Linked DNA regions of Lepisosteus oculatus. The protein of the gene in region 1 interacts with the protein of each later gene in a pairwise test. Links are inferred from orthologs where the notes say so. Each region holds a gene or a part of one and is shown in the gene's direction. Other genes may lie near its edges. The genes, in order: lnx2a, c4h10orf88, 5-phosphohydroxy-L-lysine phospho-lyase-like and nmd3.

What was found.
Region 2: the proteins of lnx2a (region 1) and c4h10orf88 interact in binary tests that used the Homo sapiens proteins (3 or more experiments, as listed by UniProt). The link is inferred for Lepisosteus oculatus from reciprocal best matches to the Homo sapiens genes LNX2 and C10orf88.
Region 3: the proteins of lnx2a (region 1) and 5-phosphohydroxy-L-lysine phospho-lyase-like interact in binary tests that used the Homo sapiens proteins (3 or more experiments, as listed by UniProt). The link is inferred for Lepisosteus oculatus from reciprocal best matches to the Homo sapiens genes LNX2 and PHYKPL.
Region 4: the proteins of lnx2a (region 1) and nmd3 interact in a two-hybrid assay, tested with the Homo sapiens proteins (3 studies listed by BioGRID and IntAct). The link is inferred for Lepisosteus oculatus from reciprocal best matches to the Homo sapiens genes LNX2 and NMD3.

The regions. Positions count from the first base shown.
Region 1 is NC_090700.1:5,626,301-5,633,300, reverse strand, and holds the start of lnx2a (ligand of Numb protein X 2a), read left to right. Parts: upstream 1-3,997; 5' UTR 3,998-4,179; intron 4,180-7,000. Other genes in the region: si:ch211-140b10.6 (protein POLR1D), read right to left, coding at 190-264, 3,589-3,614.
Region 2 is NC_090699.1:27,695,325-27,702,692, forward strand, and holds the start of c4h10orf88 (ATPase PAAT), read left to right. Parts: upstream 1-4,362; 5' UTR 4,363-4,961; coding exon 4,962-5,101; intron 5,102-5,372; coding exon 5,373-5,573; intron 5,574-5,688; coding exon 5,689-5,761; intron 5,762-6,163; coding exon 6,164-6,364; intron 6,365-6,472; coding exon 6,473-6,909; intron 6,910-7,368. Other genes in the region: adam9b (disintegrin and metalloproteinase domain-containing protein 9), read right to left, coding at 367-433. UniProt on the Homo sapiens protein: ATPase that regulates mitochondrial ABC transporters ABCB7, ABCB8/MITOSUR and ABCB10. Regulates mitochondrial ferric concentration and heme biosynthesis and plays a role in the maintenance of mitochondrial homeostasis and cell survival.
Region 3 is NC_090706.1:30,013,250-30,020,571, reverse strand, and holds the start of 5-phosphohydroxy-L-lysine phospho-lyase-like, read left to right. Parts: upstream 1-4,322; 5' UTR 4,323-4,856; coding exon 4,857-4,957; intron 4,958-5,322; coding exon 5,323-5,441; intron 5,442-6,487; exon of another isoform or gene 6,488-6,609; intron 6,610-7,013; coding exon 7,014-7,173; intron 7,174-7,322.
Region 4 is NC_090708.1:5,929,967-5,937,669, reverse strand, and holds the start of nmd3 (60S ribosomal export protein NMD3), read left to right. Parts: upstream 1-4,682; 5' UTR 4,683-4,762; intron 4,763-5,885; 5' UTR 5,886-6,001; intron 6,002-6,007; exon of another isoform or gene 6,008-6,127; intron 6,128-6,552; 5' UTR 6,553-6,569; coding exon 6,570-6,613; intron 6,614-6,893; coding exon 6,894-7,028; intron 7,029-7,249; coding exon 7,250-7,346; intron 7,347-7,703. Other genes in the region: ppm1lb (protein phosphatase, Mg2+/Mn2+ dependent, 1Lb), read right to left, coding at 3,194-3,592. UniProt on the Homo sapiens protein: Acts as an adapter for the XPO1/CRM1-mediated export of the 60S ribosomal subunit.

The DNA.
Region 1 (7,000 bases):
CTTCCCCCTTATTAGTCCCTTAAACAGGGACATTATGAAAATGGCCATCTGTTTAAACACTTCTTTCTTTATTTGACAAAACTGAGTATTTGATCAAAATTGGTCAAAATGGTGTGGCAGGTTATTCCTGCCAACTGTGGCAGGGAAGTCCCAGAGCACAGCACACTGGCACATGTCTGTGTGTCTTACCAGCCAGCAGGGCCCATAGTCTCTGCCCGGATCCTCCCTCGCTTTGCCTCGTTGAGAAGCTCATCCACAGCTCTCCTATTCAGGAAGAAATCATAAAAAAGGCTTTTATACTGCAAGGCTGTACTGAGTGCTCAACCTTGCTATAGACAGCAGCTCTAAAGACACTGTAGGCAAAGTGTTACAGGGATCTCCAAATCAACATGTGTTACAGAATTTTAGCAATACCAGTTATAACAACTATAAATTTGCACAGCCAGCGTTAAACATTTATGTTATAACTAAAGACTTGCTTTACAGAGTTTAAGATGGATAATTTAAGTTTAACTTAGCTGTTGGGGGTGCAATATCAACCTCTTTTTCTAATATTAAAGCTTGAGATGCAGGTTATAAAACTGTCAAATGATTCTGAAACTGAATGAGGCTGTGCTTTTGTCTCACGCAAATATATTTTTTGGGTTTTGCTAAAGCTATGAATAAAAGGTACGCCAATCTGAATTCAAGACAGACCTCTTGTTCTCTCCAATGCTGCAATCTGACACCACGCTGAACTGAATACAGGACCCTGGTTTTGAGCCAGCTGTTTCACACCATCTGTTATGACACCCATCAGTGACAGGGCATACCAACTGCTGGGCAGCTGTCATCCTCTACCCCAGCACAATGTGCCCCAAGTGTGGATCTGCCCAGCCTGCCTCCTCAGTACAGCCCTCACTGGCAGCGGGGGTGAGTTTATGGCTGAACAGTGCTAGGTGAGCTGCCACCCTTAAGCATTGCGATTGCACTCCAGCACAGCCACAAAACATTTTATATTTCACCGCAAAGTATTCTGAAATGTGCAGAATTAGTACAAATGCTAAATAGATAGATAATACTTTATTAATCCCATAGGGAAATTGATGTGTTACAGCAGTCCAGCCCAAGACAAGCAAAACAGACATCAGAATAGTTATAAAACAAAAGACAAACAAGATAAATAAAAATAAATACATAGGTGTGTGCAAAATGTGCTGATCATAGTCACTGTAAAAACAATAAAATATGTGCAAAATGTGCATAGGTTTATACAGACTGATTGTCCAAAACGTACAATGGAGCAAACATGCTGTCCATAGAGGAGCAAATGAAGGGCTAACAGTCCTAGCCTAAGGCAGCGTTATACACCCTGACAGCTGGAAAGACAGGAAAGACATGCGGAAACGTTCCCTTGAACACCGTAGCTGGAGCAGTCTATTGCTAAATGTGCTCCGCTGCCCAGTAACAGTCCCATGAAGAGGACGAGAGGTGTTGTTCATGATGGCTGTGAGCTTGGTCAGCATTCTCCTCTCAGCCATCACCTCCATGGGGTCAAGGCTCATCCCCAGCACAGTGCCAGCCTTCTTGATGAGTTTATTGAGCCTATTTGCATCTTTTGTCATGATGCTGCTGCCCCAGCACACCACAGCGTAGAAGATGGCCGCCGCCACCACTGATTCATAAAAAATGTGTAGCAGTGTTCCACACACACCAAAGGACCTGAGTCTCCTAAGAAAATAGAGTTGGCTCTGACCTTTCTTGTACAGGGCGTCAGTGTTACCAGACCACTCCAGCTTATCATGCAGGTGTAAATGGCCGCCTCTCAGAATAAATCTAAACTTCGACCAATAAAAATGGCGCACTAGGTGCTGGATGGCAGGTTTTCATTGAGTAGAAGCAGGAAATGTGTCAAACAAACGGCCACTGTCAAATATCAGGAATGGTGCTACTGACTGGCCAGCGGGTCAAAGCGTTGAATAAATTCACACCTAACACTAATTTAAACTGGTTTAATAGCAAATCACAATTCCGTATTTACTGCGATACTGCAATCAATGTGTAACAATTAATTTGACAAGTAGAAATGTTTTATGAATTGAAATTTTGCTTCACAAAGCTAGAGGGCTGTAATTCCAAGACTGACCTATGAAGTGCTTGCTGTGGCAAAAACAGCCGAAAAGCAGAACACAAAGCTTCCTTCTGGGAGTCCCAAGACATTCTCTCTCACCCCTACTTATGAATCAGGTTTAAGGAAAACATGTCATTTAATCTAGTGTGGCAACATTTAACAACTACAGTATTAAATCATTCTGGCCTGGCAAGCAGTCAACTACTTTATACTGAGCTGTATAAACACCGAAAAGTCAGGAATATGGGATAATTATAATTATAATGTTTTCTAAACCACCACAAGGACTATATTTACAATGAAAAATTCATAATGAGCTTTTGCCCTGACATCTTTGCCCTTTGAAATGCAGAATCTGTGCTCTGACAGCTACATCTGCTCTTGTCAGCAGTTCTTTTCTAAGTTTGTTTTGGTGGATTGCCATATGGAATAATAATATAATTTACTCATTCCTTCTTAAAAAAAAAGAGAAATCTATTCACAGCTGCATGCCAAATTGAAATTAGCATGTACAGCAAACATGATATGAAGCACCATTGATCTAAAGTGAAAAAACTTCATCAGCAGCAGGTTTTCAGGAACATATACACTACATTCTCTACAGCTTTATATTAATTCATTCTTCTCTTAAAAAATGCACTAAAACTGCTGAAAAAATAATTCGAAAAAAATCTGTTACATATCATTAATGATCTTCCAAATTCCACTTCTTAAGACTGTAACGAACTTCTGTTCTTAGTTTCATTCCATGGAAACTGTCTAATTAGTTTTGACTGTTAATGTTGTACAAAACTGTGGTTTTACCCATAATAGGTGACAACGTAAAAAAATGTCTGATCTTCGCCAGCTTCCGAGCGGTGATCATAGTAGTGTGCGATACATATCAGACATGTATAGTTACTAACAGCTTACCTCAACCTTTTAGTATGTTCTCCTATTACACGTGTAATAGAAAATTCATTGAATTATTGAGCAATGCACAGGACGTTTTTTTTAACGTGAGTATTTAATAAGTTCAGACGATCGGTATGGTTAGTCCTGTAGTAAAATATTTTATTAGAGTATTATAATAAAATGAGCAAGGATCAACAACACAGTAACAGATCAGCCAGTTCATTCAACGTGTTAAGAATTGAAGAACGCAACATTAACAAGCTCTCGGGTGGTATTACTAGTAATTTATTCCGTTGTAAACAAACTGATATATGGTAAAGCGCTAACTGCAAGTACAATAGTTCACTAAGTGTTTCGTTAATGATTTTTGATTATTTCGAATTACTCGTATTAATATTAAAGTCATTGGAAGCATTAATTACAGCACATTAAGGAAGCGGTACTGATGCCGTGATCAGCACAGTACGCAGTGATACCTGCTTCAGCCGACAACCAGCGGCCGCGGCTCCAACTCTTTCGAAACCAGCACGCTGTTTCAACATTTAATGTTCAAATCTGTCGACATTTTCCACCGCTGTACTCACTTCTCCAGCTCTCGATCCTCCTCCATTTCAAATACCACACGCCGAGACGAGACGAGACGAAACGAAACGACAGCACTCAACGCCGTCTGCTCCAACTTCCTAAACAAGAGCTTCCAGGACCAGTAGGACCCCTCCGCGATTGGTGCCCTCGCAGATGCCGTACTGCGTCGCCAGCGCTAAAATCGCACTGAGTGATCGCAGAAAAGCATTCTTTGGCCTACGTGGCGCTCAGATCATTTTTTAAAGCGACTTCTTGGTGCGGCAGCCATGAATAGGCGGTGCTCCGGGGAGCGATCGCTTAGCAAAGCACCGAGGCGGCTGTGTTTTGAGTCAGGCGCTGTGAGGGGGTGCAGGGCGCTTCCTGCTACCATGACATCACGCCGGCCCCGCCCCTCTCCGGTGAGCTCTGGGCAGGAGGGCGGGTGGGGCGGTTCTCCTCCCCCGGTAGGCGGCGAGGGCGTCAGTCCGCCGTGCGGTCGTGCCCTGTGTGGCTCAAGTGAGTTTTGATTGAGCCGCAGAATTGTCCCAGGTCCGAGCTGGAGTTCACAGAAGGGCGGCGGCGAAGAGGGGGTGGTGGGCACGCTGTAATAGGTAATGTACTGCGGTATTCATTTGTTCGTCCGGTATGCGTTTAAAATTTTAAAATAAGAATGTCGCCGCCTCCGCCACGATTCGAAATAGTTACTTTGTTCAGGAGGACAGAAAAAAAAACGTGAATTTTTTCAAAGTGTCTCATCGTACTCTTCTTGGGGAGTGTAGTGTAAATTGTACTGCTTGTCAATAGGCGGATATTATTTGATAATACATGATCTGCATGTGTTACTTACACCCCCTTTCTTTAAGTGAACGTGATGGATGCTTCGCTTAGGTGACAAGCCGTAGAAAACAGCTGTACAGTCTGCTATGAACAGTGAGCACTTTCAAAGATGTGTCCATGATTTGAGGTACAGTTCTTTGTTGCCGTACAGTATATAGGTTAAACGAGCAGCGAACATAGTAGGTAACAAAGACATTTAGACGAAATATCGATTTCAGTGCTCAATGTTAAACGCCATCTGTATCAAATTCCCCGGTTCCTCACTGGCATTCCTGCTGACAGATCTGAGACGGCGGACTCAGTGCACGCTTTCCTCTGCGTTGGTTGCTTGTCATCCAGCCACGGTGGGGGCACCCCTTGAGTTTCAAGGAGAATGACAACGACTTTGTGTGAACAAAGCAACACCTAGAGAACAATAACTGTTGGTGGACTTCGCTTTCCCTACTTCGACGGCATTGTCTAGTCGCAGCCTGGTGCCGCGAATGAATTGCTCGGAGGATCAGCGTTCTTTGAAATTCATGATGCATGAAAAGCACACGCTGGGCACACCTTATAGCAGTCATAATTTGTCTGTGTTTTAAAATGTGCGGTAATTGTGTCATTTATCTGAGGTGTAAAATGCAAGCCTGCATGCTACACACAGTGTGGCCTAGATTTTCTGAAATATAGTGTGCTCCCAGTGTATAGTGTGCACGCTCTTGCACAGAGACTATAAAAGATGAATTGAACTCCAAGGCTTTTCAGGTCAGTGCACCAGATGCAATATATATATGTTCTGGCTTATATAATGGTATTTTTCATTTCAAGCTCTGTACAGTTGCACTGATGTGGTGTTAAAAGATTTAGCGACCTAGTCCTGGCAGTTTGCGCTCTCTCGCAGTCCTACAGGGTGGTGAGGAGCGCGGACAGAGGTCAGACATCTTGTGTCGGATTGGAGCCTCGGGGTGCAGAGGGCAGATTGGTGTCCGCAGGGCAGTGGTCTCTATGGGGACAGGCAGCTGTGGGCATGTGAGGAGGCTGTTCGTGTGGACAGACGCCCCATGTGTCCACTAACACTAGACGAAAACCCAGTGACCATTTCCGCCGGATTCCTCCAACATGCAGCGTGGATTTAGAGTAAAAGTAACAGATTCCCTGGGAGAACGAGAGACTCGCTGGAGTTATCTGGCATCGAGCTACAGCTGCAAAGTAATTTGTAGGTTGTGTGACAGTTGTAAAACAGATCTTACACAAACTGGTGTTTAAATTCAAACTGCATGCCTGTTTCTCTGAAGAGCCTGGCATGAAGCTTGGGCCGGGTGGTTTGTCTTGAGTCTTGCTTTACTCCGCTCAGAGTTGAACCTTGCACAATAATGTAGGGGAAGAACAAGCCAGGAAAACCAGGCTGTTGATATACAAGGCTGGTTTCATTTCAGAATCTTTGCCCTTGCTGCTGTCACAGCCGAGCTTTGACGGCGTGGTACGCTGTTTTATCACAAAGAAGCACCCTGCGAAAGAACCTCCGCTGCTACCCATAAGCATAACATTCCACAATAGGTTGTTGTTCTGGAGGAACAAATGCTTTTTTTTTTCTCCAGTTTGTGCGAGTCAAAACGCATTTTTGCAGCGTGACCTTGTGCCAAGCAGTGGAACACTTGTCAGGCTCTTTGGCTCTAGGAGCTCAGCACTCCTCTTTTGCCAACATGTGTCTTTTCCACTGACCTTTCCACCTGAAGCCTCCTGTAGCGATCAAGGCAGAGCAGTTTTTTGAGGGCAGGCCGTCTGAACAGCCGGGCTGGGTAGCTCCCTGCATCGGCTTTATCTGGTCAAAGAGATCTCAGGTGACATTGGAGCTGCTAGGGGGTGGCAAGGAGAGAGGGCTGGAGGTCTGGAACGTATACAAGAGTGTTCTGGGCTCAGAATGCTAATGAGGACATGAGTCTTGTAATCCTGCTTCCTGCACAGACCCACTGTACGCAGTGGTACATCAAAGGGGTCCGAAGTGCAATAAATCATCTCTAATAGCAATGAAAGTGGTATCACGCGTTCCAGTCAGTTCTAAGTCACTCTTTGTCAGGTCCTCTTCATCATTAATCACCTTTGTCAGGTGCTCTATTCACATCCCTTATGTTGAGAAAACTTCTTTTTATGCTACAGTTCATTGATCTCCCAGGATGAACTATTAGCTATTAAAAAATTGGGTTCAGTTTCCATTGAAAATCGTCGTAGGAGTGTGTTTCTGCAAAAGATGGAAAAGCACTTGAGTGAAAGGAGAAGAACAATGCAAAATGTCTAGGAGAGTATGTAAAGCCAGGATCCTGTTGTGATTCTTCTGCAGAGCACATTATTGAGCACAGCTTTTCCTCTGTTGTCTCAATATGTTGTTGGGGATAAAGGTATCTGGAAGATCAATGTCCATCGTTACTATTAAAGACAGTTTATTGCATCAGTTATTGATGCTGTGGGATTGATTGACTCCTTGTCTCCGGATTGCCCTAATGGTAGCTGTCTCTCGCAAACCACATAGCTGGAATCTGGAAGCCAGATTTATGTTTACTGTGCTACTCTTCCCCCATCAGACTGCAGTCAGGATTCAGCTATTCATTTTCATTAAAC
Region 2 (7,368 bases), on another chromosome or scaffold:
ATCTGCCATTGTCAGTTTAAAAACAATATTTCAGTATTTCAGAAAATAATCCCCAAGTCAATTTTGATTGACCAATTTTTGGTCACACCTGTTACACTTCTTTTAAATTTAGAGATCAGATTTCATGGCTGAAGTGAAACTACGCTTTTCCATAACTGTAAATAAAACATATAAAATTAATTAGTGAATACACAATATTTGCCACGGTGATTAATACAAATTAAGTCATTATTAATCATGCCTAAAAATAAGAACATCTTAATGTCTAAATGATAAGTTTACCTGTAGTTTTATGATAACTGTAATCTCGGACTGTTTAATTTGGACAGGATTTTCTTAATGAATATATTTGGAACGTTGTCTTACCTGTAGCTTGACTTCGATTTATAAAACAAATAAAAAAGGAGAATAAGAAAAGACTTCGTTCTAACATTATGAATAATCCAGCAGTGCTTCTATGCCATTAAGTTAAAAGGGCACAGAGTGAACAGAAGATTTCTAGGTGAGGTGCTGTCTTCCGGGTGGGAGTGTGCCGCTGTAATTGGAAAAGTACAGTGAGTGTGCTAGAGACAGCTCATACTGGATCAGGCGCTGACAATGGCCTTTGAACACAATTTGTAATTAGCAACAGGAATGTAGAACGGGTAACACCGGTTTATATAAAATAGAATATCCCGCAGCATATTATGCCGGAAGAAAACTTGCCAACCTGTTTCAAGGATCAAAATCATTTTGAACTTATTTTCTTTGCCAGAGAATTATTGACTATCAAAAGCGAAGAATGAAATGTAATTTGAAGTACGTTTAAAACAATAAACAACCTAAACCTTATTTCAGTTCCATAATGGTCCTTGATACATATTGTAACGCTTACGGCCGACAGGTACTCTGTAAGAGCCGGCGTACCAGAGCAGGTGACGTCACCGCCCTTCCCTGTGATAGCAGGACTACAGCTAGTGCTCTGTAGAGAGATCTCTCTTTGGCTCACCGGCCTGGGTCCCTGCAGAGTGACGCGGGAGTCCCGGCAGTGGGGGGTCGACCTAATACGGCAAGGGCGCCCGCCTGAGCCCCCGTTGCGTTACAATGTAGTAAAACACGAAAATGAAAAATGACGAACTGGGTTTCTTCCGCCCTTCAGAGATGGTCGAGCTTTAGATGATATACTGTTCAGAACAGTTCCGTTAATACAGAATTATTAGCTCTTATCGAAAGTATTTAAACCTTTTTCATTTATCTGTTGCTTCACTTCACTCAGTCAAAAAGACAAGAACCGGTTTCTGCAGGTAGTGAAGCTCAGCTCTGAAAACTCTGATAAGCCTGTAAAACCTCTGGCCCAGGAGAGCCTGAGGAAGATCTGTGCCATCAGTGAAGAGCCATTTCACATCCTTCATCAGCCTTTTGATCTTTTGCCTCCATGAAGACTTTTCGGCGTTCACATTTAAAACAAATAAAATGAGAGTAAGCTTTGTTCCAGAGGCCATCAGATTTGCAAAAAATTAATGTAAAGAGGTTTTATATATAGGCTGTCAATTGGACAGTGCACCGTCTACAAATGTGTACAGTACAGTACTTCAATACCTTCTTAACTAATACACGCTGTTATTTCAACTACATTTATGGTCCGTTTGTTGATTTTTATGTGTATATTTTTTCTTTGTAATGTTGTTGTATTAGTTATATGCTGTATGTTTCACCTCTTACTGCCTACATTTCCCCCTGGGGATAAAGTATTTTGAATTGAATTGTCAAGTCAGCAGGAGAAAGGTGGAATTACAGAACATAGCCACCAGTGGGCGCCAACGCACTCCGACTTATAAATAAGAAAATCCATATGAGAAAGTAAAGCAGAGTTCTGAAAAGAAATCATAGTAGCAGGAGAGTATTTAACTACCTAAAAAAGTATCTGTTCGTGTTTGCAGCAGATGACTTGGTGAGCTACACAACTGTTTTTTACATAAGAATAACAATATGGCAGTCTCCTAGTAGCTTCTATGAATTGGCTACATTACTCTGCTCTCCTCCCCACTGATAGCTGATGTGTGGTGAGCGTTCTGGCGCACTATGGCTGCCGTCGCATCATCCAGGTGGATGCTACACATTGGTGGTGGTGGAGGGGAACCCCATTACCTGTAAAGCGCTTTGAGTGGAGTGTCCAGAAAAGCGCTATATAAGTGTAAGCAATTATTATTATTATTATTATAGCTTAAGAAAATATGGAATAGCTATACCATCTTAAATATTTTGTAGCAGGCTTTAAATCAAGGCAAAGAGCAGACAAATGGTGAACTTCATAAGGTTCCTTCTTGATCATGACCACTAACCTCGTGGCCATTCCAATGCTTTAAATTGCAGTACTTTCATATAAGCAGCTCTTAAACTGCTGTACTGATACTAATAACTAATTACATATATGATTAAAGAGCAACATTTGTAGAAAAATTAAATAATACGGCACACTGAAGAGCTGCGGTTCGCATAGATCTGCATTAGATGTTATTCATTGCATGCTATTAACACCTGAAAAAAAATGTTGGTTGCTATCTAATAAAACACTTCAAACTTAGCAAAATAATTAAAAACAAATTACTATTAAGAATCCTGCCACATGTAACAATGAATCAAACTATAACACAAGCAGATGGGGTATCGAACAACATTAAATGTGCTCATAAGAGTAAAGAAAAAAAATGTCCAGCTCATTTAAAGCAGTTAAATGTCCAGACCAAATGAGCTGTAGTTTCACTTGGACTCATCTCGAATAATGATGAGACTTGTTATCGAAAGCAGATTGACTTGGGAACAGCCTGGTGTTTGGACAATGACCTTCTACTCAACGCTTCTAAAACCAGGGAAATACATTGTTGACTTCCGACGCATCCAGAACACAAAACGTCTAATCGTTATTAATGATGTTCCTAGAGAGACCACAAACTCCTTTAAATTTCTGGGTACATATATAAACAGTGATCTTAAATTGAGTACCAACACTGACCACATAGTCAAGAAAGCACAGTAGAGGATGTTTTTTCTAAGGCAACTCAAAAAAACACAGAGTGAACCGCTAACTCCTCCTTCAGTTCAACACAGCCATAATCCAAAGTGTTCTGACAACCTCTATTAAAGTCTGGTATGGGAGCTTGGATAACTACCCAAAAGGCAAACTGGAAAGGATTGTGTCCAAAGCTGCAAAAAGTGTTGGCTGTGAACTCCCTTCTATCTCATCTCTCTATTCAAGCCACAACTCCAATCGTGCCAAGAAAATCATCTCTGACCCCTCTCACCCAACTCATAATCTCTTTCAGTTTCTCCCTTCTGGAATACGTTCCAAATCCTTCCTCTCAAGGACTGCCCACTTCAACCTCAGCTTCTGCCCCACTCACTGCCATACGAACTATGAATACACGTTATAATTGCTTACACTTTTCTGGACACTCCACTCAAAGTGCTTTACAGGTAATGTGGACTCCCCTCCACCACCACCTATGTGCAGCATCCAAATTGATGATGCAATGGCAGCCATATTGCACCAGAATGCTCCACACATCAGCTATCAGTGGGGAGGAGAGCAGAGTAATGAAGCCAATTATTAGATGGGGATTATTAGGAGGCCATGATTGGTAAGGGCCAATGGGAAACTTGAAACACCCTGGGATTTTTAACGACCACAGAGTCAGGACCTCAGTTTTACCTCTCATCCAAAGGACAGCGCCTGTTAACAGTATAGTGTCCCCATCACTATACTGGGGCAGTAGGACCTACGTGGACCACAGGGTGAGCACCCCCTACTGGCCCCACTAACATCTCTTCCAGCAGCAACCTTAGTTTTTCCCAGGAGGTCTCCCATCCAGCACCCCCTACTGGCCCCACTAACATCTCTTCCAGCAGCAACCTTAGTTTTTCCCAGGAGGTCTCCCATCCAGGTACTGAGCAGGCTCACACCTGCTTAGCTTCAGTGGGTTGCCAGTTGTGAGTTGCAGGGTGATATGGCTGGCTATAAATTATATATGTATGTGACAATGTTTGTCCGTCTTCTGTCCTATTTAAATTTGTACTGTATATATTGTAAAGTATGCATGTCTCATCTGTGTTCTTGCTGTACCAATAGAAAATTCCACCAACTATTGTTGTGTGGCAATAAAGAATAATCTAAATGTTTTACTGGTTGGCCAATTTGTACAACTTTACTGTTTTTTCCCCTTTTTCCAATTGACCTGGCTTACAGAAGTGCAAGGAGCACACAGAAGTGCAAACATCCTGTCACGTCACAAAGTTTAATATTTACCGACATATATGTTAATACTTGTTGAGCTGTTAAGACTGAAAAGGGAGAAGCTGGCACCGATCAGGCTGTTTTTTTTTCCTCAGGCGCGCTATGGACACCCTATAGATTTGGGTCTTTTTGGAGAGGTGTCGCTGCTCTGATGATTTTAGTAAATCTGTTAAGTGAGCTGTTTTCTTCTGGTTTAACTTCGCCTGGTCTCTTTCTGTGATAATATGCAAAGATGTACCTTATTATGCTAAAATGAACTTAAAAATGTCTTTACTGATAGAGAAATTAATCGGTGTGAGATATTTAACGGTGAGATAACTACAATACCCAGGTTTAATCACTGACTGAGATTTTAATAATTTACTAATCGCTGGGTAGTTTCATTATTTTGCTTCGGTTGTCGGCGATGCTGAGTAATGACAGGTTACAAAGTGGAAGGTAAATAACGTTTAGGTTTCTGTGTGAGTCAAAGCACGGTTATCGGCACCAAAACAGCAGGAAACCATGTTGAACGCCGCTGTCAAGGAAAGAGATTCTTGCCTTTTAAAGTAACATTTTATAATCAGGTTTAAAATCCTTCCTTCTTTTATTTGGATTTTCCAAAGTAGTATTAGCTTTCGGTTTGTTTGAACCATGCATGCTGGGAGTCACGGACTGGAGTAGGGACGGTGTCTGGTTACTTTAACCAAAGATGGCCAGGCAGTGTGTGATCGGCAGTAAAGATGGACTGGTCACGGCGCACTCGTCCTGGGTTTTCTCTTCGTCTTCTCATGAAGACATCTTGTCTCTCCAAACCGGGAACAACCCTGGGGATTACCCCGAAGACGGCGAGTAAGTAATTTCTAATTTCTAAGCATTTGGCCGTCATTCAATATCATCGGCTTTTTTTACACTGTAAAGTGTAACCGAGAGAAATAAACGTTTACATCTTGTAATTATTCTTTTAGTTCCGATGTTATCTTTTGCTTTTGTGTAAGAATTAGATTATCGCCCCCAACGTTTATGAGAGAGAAGTATTCACACTGTGCGACTCTGGACAATTTGCTGCTTTTCATCAGTGTACCTGAGCGCAGTGTTGGTTTGTACTCGTCTTTCTGTGCAGGACCGTTCCTGTGTTCCTACAGCAGGACCCCGAGGACGAAATGCTCCCCTGCGAGCTGCGACTGCAGTGCGCCCCCGGCTCTTGCTCTGACATGGCCTGGCTGCAGGTCGTGAGTGAAGCGCGGACCATGGAAGTGTATTGTGGGTCCGAGTACTGCGGTACCTGCCGAGGCGAGCGAGTTAGCAGCCTGCAAATCAACGGGTGCGCCTTTGCTTTTCTGTCTCGATAACCGCTCTTACTAATGTGATCGCTGATAACGGTTGAAATGCAGCGTGATCGGAAGAAACATTCGGGGATCTTTTTCTTGTCTTTTCAGTGTTAGCGACAGCATTTCCTTGTATCGGAAACAACTAAAATTAGACAGTCCTTCTAGATCTTGTGAAGTGAAGGTAAGTTCCTACGTTGTGTCTCTAATGTTGTTGGAAGTTATCTGTAAACAGGAGGAGCAGGAAACAAAAAAAAATGATTTAGCAGCATGGCCATTGAGGATATATTACTTCTTTATTGTTTCTGTATTGTGAATCTGTATCCATCAGTGTTTTAGGACGTAGATTAGCGTCACCTGTGGTTGTGTTTACTGAGATTGCAATGACCTAAACTGTCTATTAGTGTTTAGTAAAGTTCGTACCGACTAAAACATGTCATCAATCTCAACACAAAACCGCTTTTTGTGTTTTGTTTTCTACATCAACATCCCCCCAAATACACTTCATTGCTGTTTTTTTTTGTTGGCTCTTTTATGGGATGATAAAACTGAAGTGTTTTTAACTGGTGTGTTTCTCTTTGCTCAGCTGCTGTCTCTTGGTGGCAAAAAGAAAGTGGGAATCAGTAGGATCGTAGTGGGAGTGAAGCCTGCTGGGAAACTGGGGAGCCCCCCTTGTGTGGGGAGCAGCATTGACCTGCAGCGTGTGCGGGCCATGATGGAGTCCATGGGTACCACCCTCTCTCCCGGAGCGCAGAACCTCATGGACATGGTGCAGTTTCAGCAGGAGGTAGAGGATATAAACACAAGGCTGTTTGCAAGTGTGAGGAGTTCAGCAGAATGTTTTATGATGGCTTGCATTACATGAAGACTAATACTACACCTTTCATTTTTCCAGAATAAACCTGATGCCCTGGGGGGATTTCTGCCTCTTCTGTTGGGCAGTGGACCACTGGCAGCTCTGGTGAAAGGAGGCTCAGAGTCCCGATCAACAGCACACACAGACTTGCACACCTCCAGGGACATCCAGTGCACAGATCCACTGCCTGCCCAAGAGAGCAAGTCAGAAAGTGCTGATGCTCCCAGCATTGTGAATAGTACCTGCATAGATAAGACTTCAGCCACTGGAGAACAGCAGCTTCCAACAGTGAATACTAATTCTTCTGAACAGATATATACAGATGTGATATCATCCTTTCTGAACGGTCAGGCCAGGAGGAAGCAGTGTAGCTTTAGCCCTGAATTGCTACCTGTCCTACAGAGCGTGTGTGGTCAGGTAACACAGCTGCGCATTGAGGACAGCATACCTGTGAACAAGCCAGCCTCAGAGCTCCAGTGAGTATGAAGTTAATATGGGTACATTGTTACAGGATCTATTTAAAGATGTGTTTAGCCTATAATCATTTCCATGATTTCTTCAAGATGTCAAACATTTCCATTGTAATGTATTAGAGCAGTGCTTCTCAAACTTTTTGGACCGAGTACCACCCCTGATCAAACCAAAGCATCCAAGTACCACCTACAAGTCATCTTCTCATAGGAACCCCAGAGAATCTCAATGACCAACATGAGCGTGCGCACACACGCACACATACGTATAATAAAAATAGCACTTAGATAATTTGGATCGTACCGCCTTGTAGCCCTTTTCCGACGCTTGCTAACACTAGGAGCGCGGTCTGTGTCGGGTTCAGCAGCGGAGCTAGTGTCGGTGGCCGATGTATAATCCTCCTCGTTCTCAACAGTGTGAGTGATCTATCTGAGCTGGCGTCGGTACTCTTGGCCTCTGTTCCT
Region 3 (7,322 bases), on another chromosome or scaffold:
GGCGCTGTATAAATGGCTGACCCTGCGCTCTGACCCCCAGCTTCTCTCCCTGTCTGTGTGTCTCATGGAGAGCAAGTTGGGGTCTGTGAAAAGACAAATTCCTAATACAAGAAACTGTATATGGCCAATACAGTGATCTTATCTGATTAAGATTAGAATAATAGTCCCAGCTGCCTGATTAGTTATACATTGTTTGGATTCACGTAGCAACTTGGATACTGTAAAATTCACACCGTCTGCTGTTGCAATAAAGCCCAATCCATCATACAGGACCCCAGCCATCCCGGGCACAGACCGTTGGACTCCAGCCCAGCTTCGACCCTGCTGCAGACTGCAGTGGCTCACTGCAGTCTGTAGTAGATTTTGTTATCTACTACTGCATATTTATTGTTCTGGTCGTTATAGTTTATTCTAATTGTGGTGTTGTCTGCTGTACTGTGTAGGCAGATTGGCACAAATCAGAATTCCAGTGCCCGTGTGCATATGGCAGTGAACTCCTCTACTGTATTGCGGATTTGTAAGCCCATCGCTATTACTGAAGTGTAACGAATTGACAGGTTGTATTAATCCTTCGGCAATGTCCTCTTTCTCTGACACTGTATCCTTCCACGGATCGGGTTTTGTAGTCCTACATTTCCCGCACTCAACACCTTCAGCTAGAAATCTTTCCATGCTCTTTACAAGTCACTTCATGTGCAATTTCTGATTTCTCTCTTTTTTTTCCCCTCCCGGATACCTAGGCGTTGCTCTGGAAATGTCCGTGTTCTCTGCCTTTGAAAAATCTGCCCCTCTTAGAGGTGCCCATGGCAAACTACGGAGCAGTTGCCATAATTAATGTCCGGTACAACAGAGGTCATTCTGCGTTAACATGTTTCACATGTGTCTGACCAAGTGCAGAAAGACAGTGCAGTAACGTGAAGGAGTAAGGAGCTTCTGCAGTCTTCCTCGACTGATACACGTGTCGCACCGATTGGAAATCCGGGCAAACTACGCATTTGAGTAACCTATTGTTTTAGCGATGTTCCTTTGTTGGCAACCAGTCTGCACTGATAAAGAACAGAGCGAACTGAGCTGAAATAACAGCCACAAAAGACGTGGCTTGAGCAGTGAAGCCCAGGTTGGAGCTCTCCTTGACACCCAGACGTGCTTTGAACTTCAATTTGCCCCAGGCGCTGAGATGAACAGCCCTGCTATTTGCCCTGATAAGCAGTCAGTGACACTGGCCTGACATGTCCTGACCTGTCACCCAAAAAACTCTACGCTCCTGGTGTCTCACAAACCCAGTCCACTGGATGATTCTTCAATGGCAGGCTCCTCGGTTTCTTTAATGACCAATTAACAAGGATTAGGAGCCTCGCTTCCCCAGCTGGGGCGTATTAACAGAACTAACAGCGCCACCTACTGTACAAAGAGTGCTTCACTATCAGCCTAGAGAAGGACTGTATCACACATACATATATAAATGTGAGTAAATATTAGTTTTAGATATAAATACCGAATTCTGCACTACACCGAGAAGTTGAAAAAAAATGGTTTTCCCACGTCAACAATAACATCGTTTCTATTAAACTTGATCGCTTTAAACTGATCAGGAAATGTATGCAGTATAATTAAACTTCAGCCAACCGAAACGTTGTGTTTTCTCTCTTCCCTTTTTCAGCATGGGATAAACGTTTTACTTGTTCCGTTACATATATTTCAATTTATCTGGGCTTTTGTCAAATTTTCAATGAATTAACTTTCTGTTTTATGTTCTCGCTTTATTATAGTGAGGTTAGTGTCCCCCAGGAGACAATGTACTTTTTACAACACGGTCCCAGTTTTGGATCAATTTCAGACATTTCGTGGCAGTACAGAGATGAATTCCGAGGTAGGCAGATTTCTAAGCATTTCTAACAAATGTTTCAGCCAAAAAAAAAAATTTTAAGCAAAACGTTGTGTTTCCGCCCGGTTTCGAACCGGGGACCTTTCGCGTGTGAGGCGAACGTGATAACCACTACACTACGGAAACTTGGTGACAAAAGTCTTATCAATTTTGTTTACTAACCTTACCCTTAACCTTACTAAACTTACCCTTAAGAATTTTCGAATCAGTATTAGCGTTTCAGTCCATGAGGGCTTCACTCAAGATACAGACAGTTTTTGGAGCGAAAAATACTTTTAAAACAGGGTTTGTGCCAGAAATATGTAAGGTGTTCATCTTTCCACGAAAAAAAAGAAAGTTTTGGGGTCCCTGTGACCAAAAATATCGCTAAAATTGGGAGGCAAAATATTTGCGCGTCTTCTCTCTCATTGGAAGAACTCAGATAATAATAATAATAATTGCTTAAACTTATATAGCGCTTTTCTGGACACTCCACTCAAAGCGCTTTACAGGTAATGGGGTCTCCCCTCCACCACCACCAGTGTGCAGCTCCACCTGGATGATGCGACGGCAGCCATAGTGCGCCAGAACGCTCACCACACACCAGCTCTCAGTGGGGAGGAGAGCAGAGTAATGAAGCCAGTTCAGAGATGGGGATTATTAGGAGGCCATGATGGGTAAACCAATGGGGAAATTTGGCCAGGACGCCGGGGTTACATCCCTACTCCTTTCGAGAGACGCCCTGGGATTTTTAATGACCACAGAGAGTCAGGACCTCGGTTTTACGTCTCATCCGAAGGACGGCGCCTGTTTACAGTATAGTGTCCCCGTCACTATACTGGGGCATTAGGACCCACATGGACCGCAGGGTGAGCGCCCCCTGCTGGCCCCACTAACACCTCTTCGTGGAAAGATAAAACTACTTTCCACGAAGCGGCGTATGACGAGCTTTTCAGAGACCGGTTACCCAAGCGAACCTTTTTTTAATCAAAAGTGACTTTACCGTTAATAGACATGGCGGTGTGATCATGAGTGTCGCATAGAAACTAGGGAGAGAAATTAAAGCACAGTTCACTGATACGTGAAAGATATTAACCTGAAAAAAGCAGCTTCTAAGGGTCCCGAAACAGCTGGGTTTCCGTAGTGTAGTGGTTATCACGTTCGCCTCACACGCGAAAGGTCCCCGGTTCGAAACCGGGCGGAAACAGCTCCTGTTCGTTTTAAATTTGAGTATTAAGTAACTGTTTACTTTTTAAGAGTATTAGTCATGTATCTGACGTATGAATTATATTCGGGATCATAATTTCCGGGATGATAAAAAGTTTCGTTGTGTGCGGGTGAAACGTGCTGAAATGCCATGAAGACGACTAAGTGTTCCCATAAGTGTCACGGAGGTTTCCGTAGTGTAGTGGTTATCACGTTCGCCTAACACGCGAAAGGTCCTCGGTTCGAAACCGGGCGGAAACACGACTTTTTGCTTGAAAGTTCTTGCAGAAAGTACCTTTTTAAAATAGCTTTGAACTGCATGGCGAAATACTGTACCTCTGTCCCTGGTGAAAGTGGTCCTTTGTCAAAATTCCAGTGCACTGCTGTCGTTTTTGAATGACGGGAAAATGTCGTCCGTTTAAAATTATTCCTGTTATTTTCGCCAAGAATAGAGAACACCGTATATAAAAAGCTTGTCAGGATAAATTTCAGGGCGCACAGAGGATTCGTTTCATGAAATTAAAACGACGTTCAACGGATACTAGCCGTGCATTTCAACGGATGCCTCTATGGATGCCTCAGTGCTTATTTAAGACCTAGAGACACACACTACAGCGGGCGATAAAATGTGTTTCCGCCCGGTTTCGAACCGAGGACCTTTCGCGTGTTAGGCGAACGTGATAACCACTACACTACGGAAACCTGCTTTTCCATTACTTGATTAATTGTAAACTGCCATTGGTTTGGTGGTCCTTGCCTTTTGAAAGTTTTAAACCTCTGTGAAATAATGTGACTCGGGCATTGTCAGATGCACGATCTGTAGTGCCGGACTCTTCACCTGCAGGGAGCCCACAAGACGGGGCGTATCATACATTTCTCCAAAACTGGTGAGTGCAAATGGCCTGCATCAACATATTGTTTTACAGTTTTTATTTTCCCCAGTTGTTCACTTCTAAACATTTTCAGTCATGTCGTTTTTTTGTTAAGCACGACTTCTAAAACAGTGGCGTCTTCGTTATTTTTGAACGCGGTGTTGAAAGGTTACACTAAGTGTTCGCGTGTTGAATGGTACGAATCTGATTAAAAAACAGGGAACTCAGTTTTCGTTATAATTGATTCTGTATCATGATTGATTCTGAATTATGTATCAATGCATTGTTCTTTTTCCTATCATCAATGTTACTATATTTGCTACTTTTACTAGAATCTACATCTCCGAATGAATTCATGCCTCGTAACCGAAATAGTTTACTTAACGTTACGAGTGTATTATCAGTGAATAGTGTTGGTTATTTTAGCGACAGATTGCTGTTTTGGCACTTCACGAAGTCTCCAGCTTAGTAAAGCTTGTAAAGAAACTTTGGACTTTTCAAAGGACGGATAGGAAGTATTTTTCGACTGATTAATGCGCTACAGAAACTTTGAATAGACTTTTTCTATTCAAATTTAGTCTATTTAAAATAAGAGTTTTAAAGGTTGAAAAGCAAAAAATATTTGGCAATACAAAATACAAGAAAGGAGACAGAATATTGAAACAGAAATAGACAGCTGAAGGTTTAGAAAATTGGACATAGGCCCTTTGTCTGCGTGACGTCGCATAAACTGGCAGTTACCAGGTGAACGCTGGGAGGCTGTCATGTGACCGAGAGGGGCGGCCAGGCTCGGTGGGGCGTCTTCCTAGGTACTGCGCATGACTGTGACGTAGCCGGGAAGAAGTTTGCAGTCCGTGGCAGGTCTCAGCTTGACGTCATACGCGGAGAGGTTTGACGGGCAGCAGTAGTGATTGATGTTCCAGGAGTTTGTAGAAACAAAAAGTCTCGCAAAAGTGTTGACCATGGCGCTCTACAGCAAAGAAGACACATTAGCGATGCGCAAGAAGTTGATTGGGTGAGTGCATAAAGAGGCTGTCCATCTAGTATTAGCCTGAGCGAAATATTCCCGGACTCCGACGTTAATTCCAAAGGTTGGAAAATGCTCTTCTATAAAAGTTCATATCTGAACGACGGCGATGCACAGCACGTGCTTTTAAGTAACGCCCTCCCTGAGAAAAAAAAACAAGTTAAAAATCCCTCAGAATGTCACACCTGAAGAAGGCTCCACGGCCGAAATGTTAGGTTTTCTTTCTTCTTTTTTTCATCATGGAATAAACCTATTACTTGTTCCTCAGATGATGTAGTACTGGTCAGGGTGTAGGTTGTGCTCTTGTAAAAGTGTTCAGTCTGCAGAGCGGACTCACTGTCACTTCCTCCCAGCTCGTCCTGCCGGCTGTTCTTCTCCGAGGAGCCGGTGAAGATCGTGAAAGCCCAGGGACAGTACTTGTACGATGAGAAGGGAAGGCGCTACCTGGACTGTATCAGTAATGTCCATCACGGTAAGGCAGCGTTGAAACCACTGTTCAGGTGGACCGTCGAAAGCATCTAGCCGTAACTGCATGAAATAGTATTGAGAACTAGTGTGGAATTCTGCCTTTAAAAACCCTTTCTTTGATGATTAATCAAATTAAAGTATTAGGAATCTTTGAAACATTTTCAAATGGTGCTTCCAATTGCAGAAATGCTGCATGTCACCGTTGAGAATGCTAGTTAAAACATTTATTTTCAGTAGCTGAAATGTCCACTAACATAAATGGTTATCCCAGCGAGCGTGCCGATTTATTTAAACTGAGCATCCAGGAGAGTCCAGCGCTGATGTCATTCTGCCTCAGCCGGTAACCCTGGCAGTCCAAGTCACAGCTGTTTATACATAAAAACACCCTAAACGTGCACATCCACGCAGGAAAACAAGGGATTATGCTGGAAATTGTTAATGTAATATCCTGCCAATCCCATGCCTCTATAAACCAGATATCTAAGCACAGCACAGATGATCATTTTTCAAATGATTTGCAATCATTTGTGTACGGCAGAATTTTGCATGATTGCTTGGGTTGCTTAGTTGCCATCCTCTTACAAAAGTCACTAACAGTAGTGCTGACTGTCACGAAAACAGCAAACATATCACCCTGCAACTCACAACTGGCAACCCACTGAAGCTCAGCAGGTGTGAGCCTGGTCAGTACCTGGATAGGAGACTCCTGGGAAAGCTAAGGTTGCTGCTGAAAGTGGTGTTAGTGGGGCCAGCAGGGGGCGCTCACCCTGCAGTCCATGTGGGTCCTAATGCCCCAGTAGAGTGACAGGGACACTATACTGTAAACAGGCGCAGGCCTTCGGATGAGATGTAAAACCGTGGTCCTGACTCTCTGTGGTCATTAAAAATCCCAGGGTGTTTCTCGAAAAGAGTAGGGGTGTAACCCTGGCGTCCCGGCCAAATTTCCCATTTCCCAAATGGCCCTTACCAATCATGGCCAACTAATAGTCCCCCTCTATGAAACGGCCTCATTACTCTGCTCTCCTCCCCACTGATAGCTGATGTGTGGTGAGCATTCTGGCACACTATGGCTGCCGTCACATCATCCAGGTGGGGCTGCACACTGGTGGAGGGGAGTCCCCCTTACCTGTGAAGCGCTTTGAGTGGAGTGTCCAGAAAAGCGCTATATACGTGTAAGCTATTATTATTATTATTATTATTATTATTATTATTATTATTATTATTATTATTAAAAATATGCTTAATATTGCTATTACAAATTAAGAATTCAATTCAGTTTATTTGTATATAGTCCCTTTCACGACAAGGGTGCCCCAAGGCACTTAACAAATCTGTGTGTGACAATACATGACGTATTTAAGAAGATTAAAAAAGTAATTCAGATTAAGAAGAGGTTTATATATCCTTTCGTTGGTTTTTTTTTCTTTCACGGAGTTTGTAATAGTTGAGTCTGTTGACAGCTGGACATTATTATTATTTTTTTTGTCGTAAACGTCTGACCGGCTTCGGCGCCCCAGAGGGGGTGGCTTGGGGGTCCGGGCGGACTCTGACCGCGCTGTCCCTGGCTCTCTCGCAGTGGGGCACTGCCACCCCGCAGTGGCGCAGGCAGCGGCCGCGCAGATGCAGCTGCAGAACACGAACACCCGGTTCCTCCACGACAACCTGGTCCAGTACGCGGCGAGACTTTCGGAGACGCTGCCGGAAAAGCTCCAAGTCTTCTACTTCGTCAACTCTGGGTAAGACAGGCGGCGGCAGACCGGAGCGGTGATTGAACTGTGGGTAAGAGGCTCGCTTCGGTGTCTGTTCAGTGTGACTGTGGCGGGGTACCGGTCTACCGATGGGGCCAACCTTTCCAAACTCCCTGTGTAAAAAAAAAAGGAAACGT
Region 4 (7,703 bases), on another chromosome or scaffold:
AATCAGTTATCTTTTTACCTCAAAGAGAAAAATAAACAATGAATAAATACTGATCATTGAGGTTACTTTATCAATAAATGTTATTGATTTTCTTTTGCTTTCTTGTCAGAAACCCCTCAAATTGCAAAATACACATGTGCAATCCTTAGAATTTAGATCCTGTGACATTTAGGTGTTATATTAAATGTAGAACAATATGAATGTCATTTTATTGCAGAACAAGTTCTGTTCTGGTATACGGCACCTTCAAAACCTACACAACATGACATGATCCTTCTACCTGCACAACAAAACTTTAAGAACTTGCGTCTTTAGAAAGGCTTTCCAAGATTGAAGACAAGGAACGATGGGAGCGTTCAGGATTCTCGCCACGTACTCTGGTATCAGTATGGGGACGTCAGCTGATCACACAGCTGTGAAGCCACCCAACATGGGCAGAGCTGAGGAGATTTGGCAGGGCTTCGGCATCATGCTCAATTTGCATTATCATCCACATCGCTGCCTAAGACCAATCAAGAGGAAGCTGGCCACCAGCTGAGAGACTCATCCAAGCTAGTACATCCACAATGGTGCCTTCTTCCTGAAGAAGGCTCCACAGGCAAAAGGTTGAGTTTCTTTTCTTCCCGTTTCAGCAGGGAATAAACCTTTACTTGTTCCTTTGCAGCCTACGCATGCTGACGCAGCTCCCTACTTGAACTACTTCATCCATAAGGGTGTGTGATTATCAAGCAAGAAGATTTCTAAGGATGGTCAAGGGAAATGTTGAAATAGGAGTGACTTCAAAAAACAAAATAGGAAATGTTCTAGAGACTGCACAAAAAGTGCATGGACATCTTACTTTTCAGAATGTAATCAAATTCTGCTCATAATCCACCTGAATCTGACCCCTGATCTCACCAACATTACAGAAATCCAATCTATATTGAAGTATGAACTCCCTATAGGGAACCTGTTACATGCATAACATTATAATTGAAGGCATGCATTATAGTGTATGCTGCCATGGAAAATTACACAATGGGGATACTGTGCTATAAAAAGAACTGTATAAATTATAGTTTTTCATTTATTCAGTTTTACCTTCTTCCCCATTTAGCTTTGGTTAATTTAAAAAAGTTGAATACTATTCTAAGGATTTATCTGCACGGTTTATTACTCTGACTAAACGCTAGAACTTTGATATGTCAGCATTTAAAATAACACTGGCAAATGTCAAGTATTGTTTAAAGAGCATCATTCACATGGCACACTGATGTAGTTATCCTTTAAGGATCTCTCTTTGCACTGAAGCAGACTGTCACCTTTTCTTCTTCAAGGCACTGAAAAAGGGCACAGTGCTTTTCTTGCATATTTACAGACTCTTTAATACTTCATTAACATTTCAGCTGCATTCTTTGTGTTGCAACATAGGCGAAACAATACATTACTAATCTGTTTTTACACAGTACCAAAGGCATATCCTGAGACACAGTTTACAAGAACCTAAGCACAAAGCCTAGAACTATTGGAATGGTGAATGGGAAACTGAAGTTGTTTAGGCTGCTTTCTAGAACAGGAATTGCAACTCAATTATGCAATTATAAGTATTTTTTGGCTTGCTTGTTAGATGACATTGTCATTTCAAAATAAAATATTAGTTTGAAACAGCAAAACAAATGCATAAGAGAGAATCGAAAACGCCCAATGCAAACGATTTCAGTGAACATCGAAAAAAAAGAAACACTAAATAGTCCTTTTACATACTGGTCTTAACTGGACATCAGGATATAATTTTAAAATTCACATTTTTGGCCGGATATACTGTACTAAGTTTTTTTTTTTTTGCAGTCGTTGGTGTACTCTACATTTAGTAACAGTTTTACGTGAACAAGAAAATACGTTTTTTGTGACTCCCAAAAAGCTAACCTGTGAGTATTCAAGCTTATAATAATAATTATTCTACAATAATAAATGCAATTGTTTCAAAGATAACCGAATTTTTCTTCTTACACTAGCTTTAACATTGACTCAGGACCCATCTCTTCCAGCATAACTACTTTATTTACTGAAAAGGAAAAACATAAATTACCTTAACATAAGATTAACATAATTTGAGCACACTATGGGTGAGAAGCACTGCCTTACCTTTTCACACGTGTGTATCACTGTACATCTGCTTATGTTAACCCACCGTCTTACCCTTTCAATACTATCTATCCTTAAGTGACACCAGAAGACAAAGTAGGAACTTTTGATTTAAATTGATGCACCATGGACACTATTATGGTGGACGTATTATGGATTTTAGGTACCTCTATGAACGGTACTACATTGCAAAAGGGTGATGAGTGTCTTAAAGGCTCAGACTGTAATCTCAGATTGTTCAAATGTATTTGTATTAATTCATAGCTCATTTTTATGGAATAAACCATAGATTAATGTAAAAATAGAACAATCCCCTACACGTAGATCTTTTCAAATCGTCTATGAGAGCTTCCAGGGGAGCTACAGTGTAATCACTCACTGAATTACTGTTTAGAGCTTTTAAATACCGTATTCTTTAATTAAATTAGTACCGCATATTCCAAGTGAGGCGCTGTTAACCTGTTTTCCACCATTTTTGCGACATGCCCGGTCTGACTTAATTTGAGGCGTGCTACACTACAGATGGCTCTCTGTCTGATTGGTCTGGTGAAAGTGAAAATTTTTAAAATGCACAGGCATTTGGGAGCTGGCTCGACTCTGCGAATTTACTGCCCGTCGGTAAGAAAAATAAAATGTAGTACGACTGGAGTACTTTCCGTAGCCCTAACCCCGGCGCGGTCAATAAGGTGCGATTGCAATATCAAATCCTGCCGAGTATTTACACATCAAGACTAAACAAATATCTATTTCCCGAATAAATCACAATTCAGTCAGGTGTGTGGGTGGGAAGCTTATATAACAGATTGTAAAGCAGAAATTTATCAACGAGCGTGTCTCGCCGTGCTCTATCACTTCGACGTCCGACACACAGTACAGACGGATGTGAACTGCGGCACAAGCGGGCTAAGAATACGTCCTGCGCGGCTTTAAAAAACTTGAATCACGCCTGGCGATAAACACGGCATGAAAACACTGAGCACGTTACATTTTCGCGGGTGGGTAAGGGGGAACCGACCGTCTGTCGGCCCGGCAGCAGTTTTCATTCAGAGCTTAAGAAGGACAGTTTTACCTCTCCACCGTGGCCATCGAAAATGCCAAATATGGATGGGTGGCTCCTGTTGACATAATCGGTAATGACTTCAAACCTATCTTCCATGTGATCTCTCCTTCCCTGGATGGAGTAGACCGCTACGTTGTGGTTTTTGAACTCCCAGGTCTTGGAGAATTCCGCCTCCAGGACATCCAGACCCCCGAGCCTGTCGTTCTGCATGATCTCCGCCACCTTCCCCTTGACCATCTTCACCGCATCCCTGCTGGACTTGACGATGGTCTTCACCTCGTCCGTGTGGAAGAAGTAACTCCACAGAGCCAGGCTGATGCACAGCAGGAACAGGGTCTCTGGTCTCAGTAAGAAATAACGCATGATCCTTCCCAAAAGAGACAACAAAGTCATTGTATCTTCTATCATTTATACACGCAGAAACGCGACTGACGACAGCTCCTCCACTCAAAATTTCAGTCCATACTTTGGAGGGCAAACAGTGATGATGGTGATAATAATAATAATAATAATAATAATAATAATAATAATAATAATAATAAAAATCAGGGTCGATTCACCAGAAAGCTGCGCATCCGTTATGTACAAGTGATTATGCAGCAGTAGCGGTGCTCAACACGGGATCCGAAGACGCTGCAGAATCGGTGTCGGTACCGCTGATGTTCCCTAAAACTGTAGCCAAATGCCCCACATTGAAGGCTGCCATTGAACAGTCTTGCCTTTCACGCAACCGAGACCCCTAGGAGACGCCGCTCCAACCATGTGCGCGATGCGGGGCAGTTAAAGGACACGGGGACCGCCTTCCGAGAGAGGCTGCTTCCGAGCCCCGCCACTGACAAGCGAATTGACGACCGCCTGCACGCCGCCGCCGCCGCTCTCCGATCAGCACCTCCTCACACAAAGCGAGCGGCCAGGCGCCGCTGCAGCATTCCCCTCGGTGGACCCTACCATTCGGGTCCGGGCGGGGTGGGGCGCTCCGGAACCGCGGCGCTCAGGACGGGGCAGGCGACACGGGGCACAGCCGGGCTCCTGCACGCTCCAGCCCGTGACCACAGAGAGAAGGGGTCAGAGACCCCCCCCCCCCGTTCACGGATCACGGGGTCCCCGCCGCCGCCGCCTGAGAGGTCGCCCCCCTTTAAGTTTTTTTTTTGTTTTGTTCTCCCTCGACGGGCATTTTCTACGGGGAACCCGTCCTACGGCTAGCGAAAAGGCACAGACAGAATAAAACGGGAGCGGACTCCGTATCGGCAAAGAGTTTACGGGGGGGAAGCGGAGAGATTTGCAAACCATCTTTTCATCTCAAGTGCATATCCCCTCCCACACACACACACATTATAACTCATTAATTGTTACAAAAAATAAACCTGACGGGACATTTAATTGATTGTATCATTGGCGGGTATTTAAATACTAATAGTGTGGAGAATTGGAAATGGTGTTCGCCGGGGAAAGTCCAATCACACTGACATTAGAAGATTTTTGCCACCTGTCAGAGTCAGTCTCGCAGTATCTGCACCATTACACTAGTCTCCAGGAATTCAAAGACTTCAAAAATATGATGATACATTGGAAGAACCGGTCTGTATAGTAATTACTCTTTATATAAAACAACGGTATATGCTTTGGAATGCATTTAACCATAATGTTAAACTAACTTCACTTTTAATCGAAAGGCTGTTTTAGAACAGGTTCGAATTATATGCTTTCATTGAAAACAATGTAACTTATTGTATTGCTATGATTCTCTCACCAAAGATGATCATTTAATATTCTCCATTCTCCATTCTTTAAAACCTCTGTCAAATAAGAAGGGTCGTTAATGGGTTTATTAACGACCCTATTCACGTACAGGTTTATAACGTACAGTATTCACGAAGGTAACATAAAATAAGTACACTTCTTCCAAGAAACTTTCTATTATCACTACTCTTAAATCAGACAAGTGATTATTACAGTACCTTGTAGATTGTATACCATTCTACAAATAGGATTTGGATGATTTGCAAATAGGCAAGTGGAGATGACTTCAGATTATGTTTGCTGCACTATACAGTGTATTTTACATTACTACTCTCCGAATAAAACAGTGACTGGACACTCAGCTCCCTCTACAATAAATAATGTAGAATGTCTTACTTATCCATGGGCTGTATCTAGAGGGAACTCCAATAGAAAAGCTTTAACTGGTACAGAATATACCAGTTACATGTTTAATTTAAATCATTAAATCACCAAGAAGTCAAATGGTGAACAGTTTAAATCAGTTCATGCCAATACTAATTCCTACTGCAAGGAACTGGAATTTCCCTTAAGGATATTATTCATATTATGCAGCAAATTTGCTTTTCAGAAAATATAATCTACCAAAGTTAAGGCAGAAAAACACAACAATGACATAAACTCCAATAATAATCTCGAGTGAGATACCTGAAACTTTAAACTGTATTTTCTATTTCAAGAGATGTTCAAAAAGCATCAAAACTGAAAAAAGCATCGTACCCTGTACTTTCAGAAATTTATTTTTATTTAATATACACCAAGTTTAGATAAAGTATCTACAATTTGGAGTAAAGAATATTAAATGTTATATAACCACTAGTAAGCATGTGAATGTGCCTTTTTACATTATTAAATAAATAGAAGCATTTTTAAATAAATCATTTTTATTCTTTTTCCTCATACCTGACAAACCTGGAGACAGGCGCACTTCTAGACTGCTATAATGAGCACGTAGGGGTCTTTTCACTCCGGCTAGTTGTGTACTACGTCATCAGGCTGTCTTGTGGCTTATGGACAACGTGCAGGGCTGAACGCGTGGTGAGTGAAGACAATTCAACGAGATGAGCATGCATCTTGTTTTTAAGATTGTTAAGTGACACTTAAGTTAATGTAACTCAGCTTGAACAAAATTACTGCTAGGAAGATAACGGCTGTTATTTTGAGGTAAAAGAAGTTCAAGTCGATGTTCAAGTGAATGCGTATAGTTCTGGTTGAGAGAACTACTTAAATTGTGGTGTGGCACATAACTACTTTGAATCGTGGACTATTCTGTCTGCTTGTCAAGCACTTTAAACATTTTTAACTTAATTGCAAATTGTTTAAAAATATTTAGGGAGTGTCACCTCTTAAATGTATAGCGTATTCATTTTGCGATTATGCGATTGGAGGAATTTAAAGAGATATGCAGAATGTGACTTTAAAATGGGAGATGGAAATGACTGAAAATGCAAATAAGCAACCAGAATTCTTTAAAATTGCATACCATGTTTTACTCAGAAATAACAGATATACATTTTGCTTCTCATACTTTAGGTGTATGGGCTGGTTGACGTATTTTTGAAATATTGTATATTATTTGTCCGTTTAAGAGAGAGAAGTGAAGAAGATGGAGTATATGAAAACCCCAGCAAGCAACATTCAGGGCAACATGTGAGTATCGAAGACATGCGTGTGTATTAAAACATCAAAAAGAAATTTGATAGTACAGGGAGATCAGTCCAAGGAAATGCTTTCTGGCAACAGCTGCATGAGAGCAAATCAGTGCATCAGCAACGAGAGTACTTTTGAATAAATCCAGGTTTAATCAGTTTTATCTTTCATTGGGGATAGTTGTTTTAAAGCTAAGTCTGTTAGAAACAAGTTTGTTTTTTGTTTTGATGTAGAATGACAGTTGTTTTACATGAAAATATTTCCCTCTGTTCTCATTTAGTTTGTGCTGTGAGTGTGGTACCCCAATACCCCCGAATCCAGCCAATATGTGTGTTGCTTGTTTGCGAACTCAAGTTGACATCACTGAAGGGATTCCGAAGCAAGTCTCTGTTCATTTTTGCAAGCAGTGCGAAAGGTGCAATTTTTTGTTTTTTCTGTTTTTTTAAATTGTCCAGTTATAGTTCAGACATTTGTAATGTGAGAGTTAATGGCAAGAAACTCAGGCTGTATTGTCACTTAACTGTTTAATGTGTTCACCAGTAACTAGTTTAAACATAAGCGTGATCAGAATTCTATATGTAGTACTTTACCTTAACTACATTTCCAAGTGAATATGGTACTGCATTTTTTTCTCAGGTACCTTCAGCCTCCTGGAACATGGATACAATGTGCTTTAGAATCCAGAGAACTGCTTGCCTTGTGTCTCAAGAAACTGAAAGCATCAATGAGTAAGGTATATAGATATGGTAACTTACTTTGGGTCCTGGTTACATCCATAGTGTATAGTTTTAACTCCATCTGTCTCTTAATTAACACTGTTGTTGTGATAATTCTCATTGATGTTACTGGTTTTGAAAGACATGACTGCAGCTGATAAGATGAAATGTTACAGCTCATTATATATATATAAGATTACCTGTGGTTATTGATTTGGTATACTAGAAATGCCTGAAGAAATATGTCATAACTGTTTTTTTGTCTTGTGAAAGTTGATTTAGTATGAATATAAAATATGCTGGAATATACCCTTCAGTATAATTTATAATAGAGGGGGGTTTTCTCAGTTAGGGCAGTACCAAATAGAAACAAC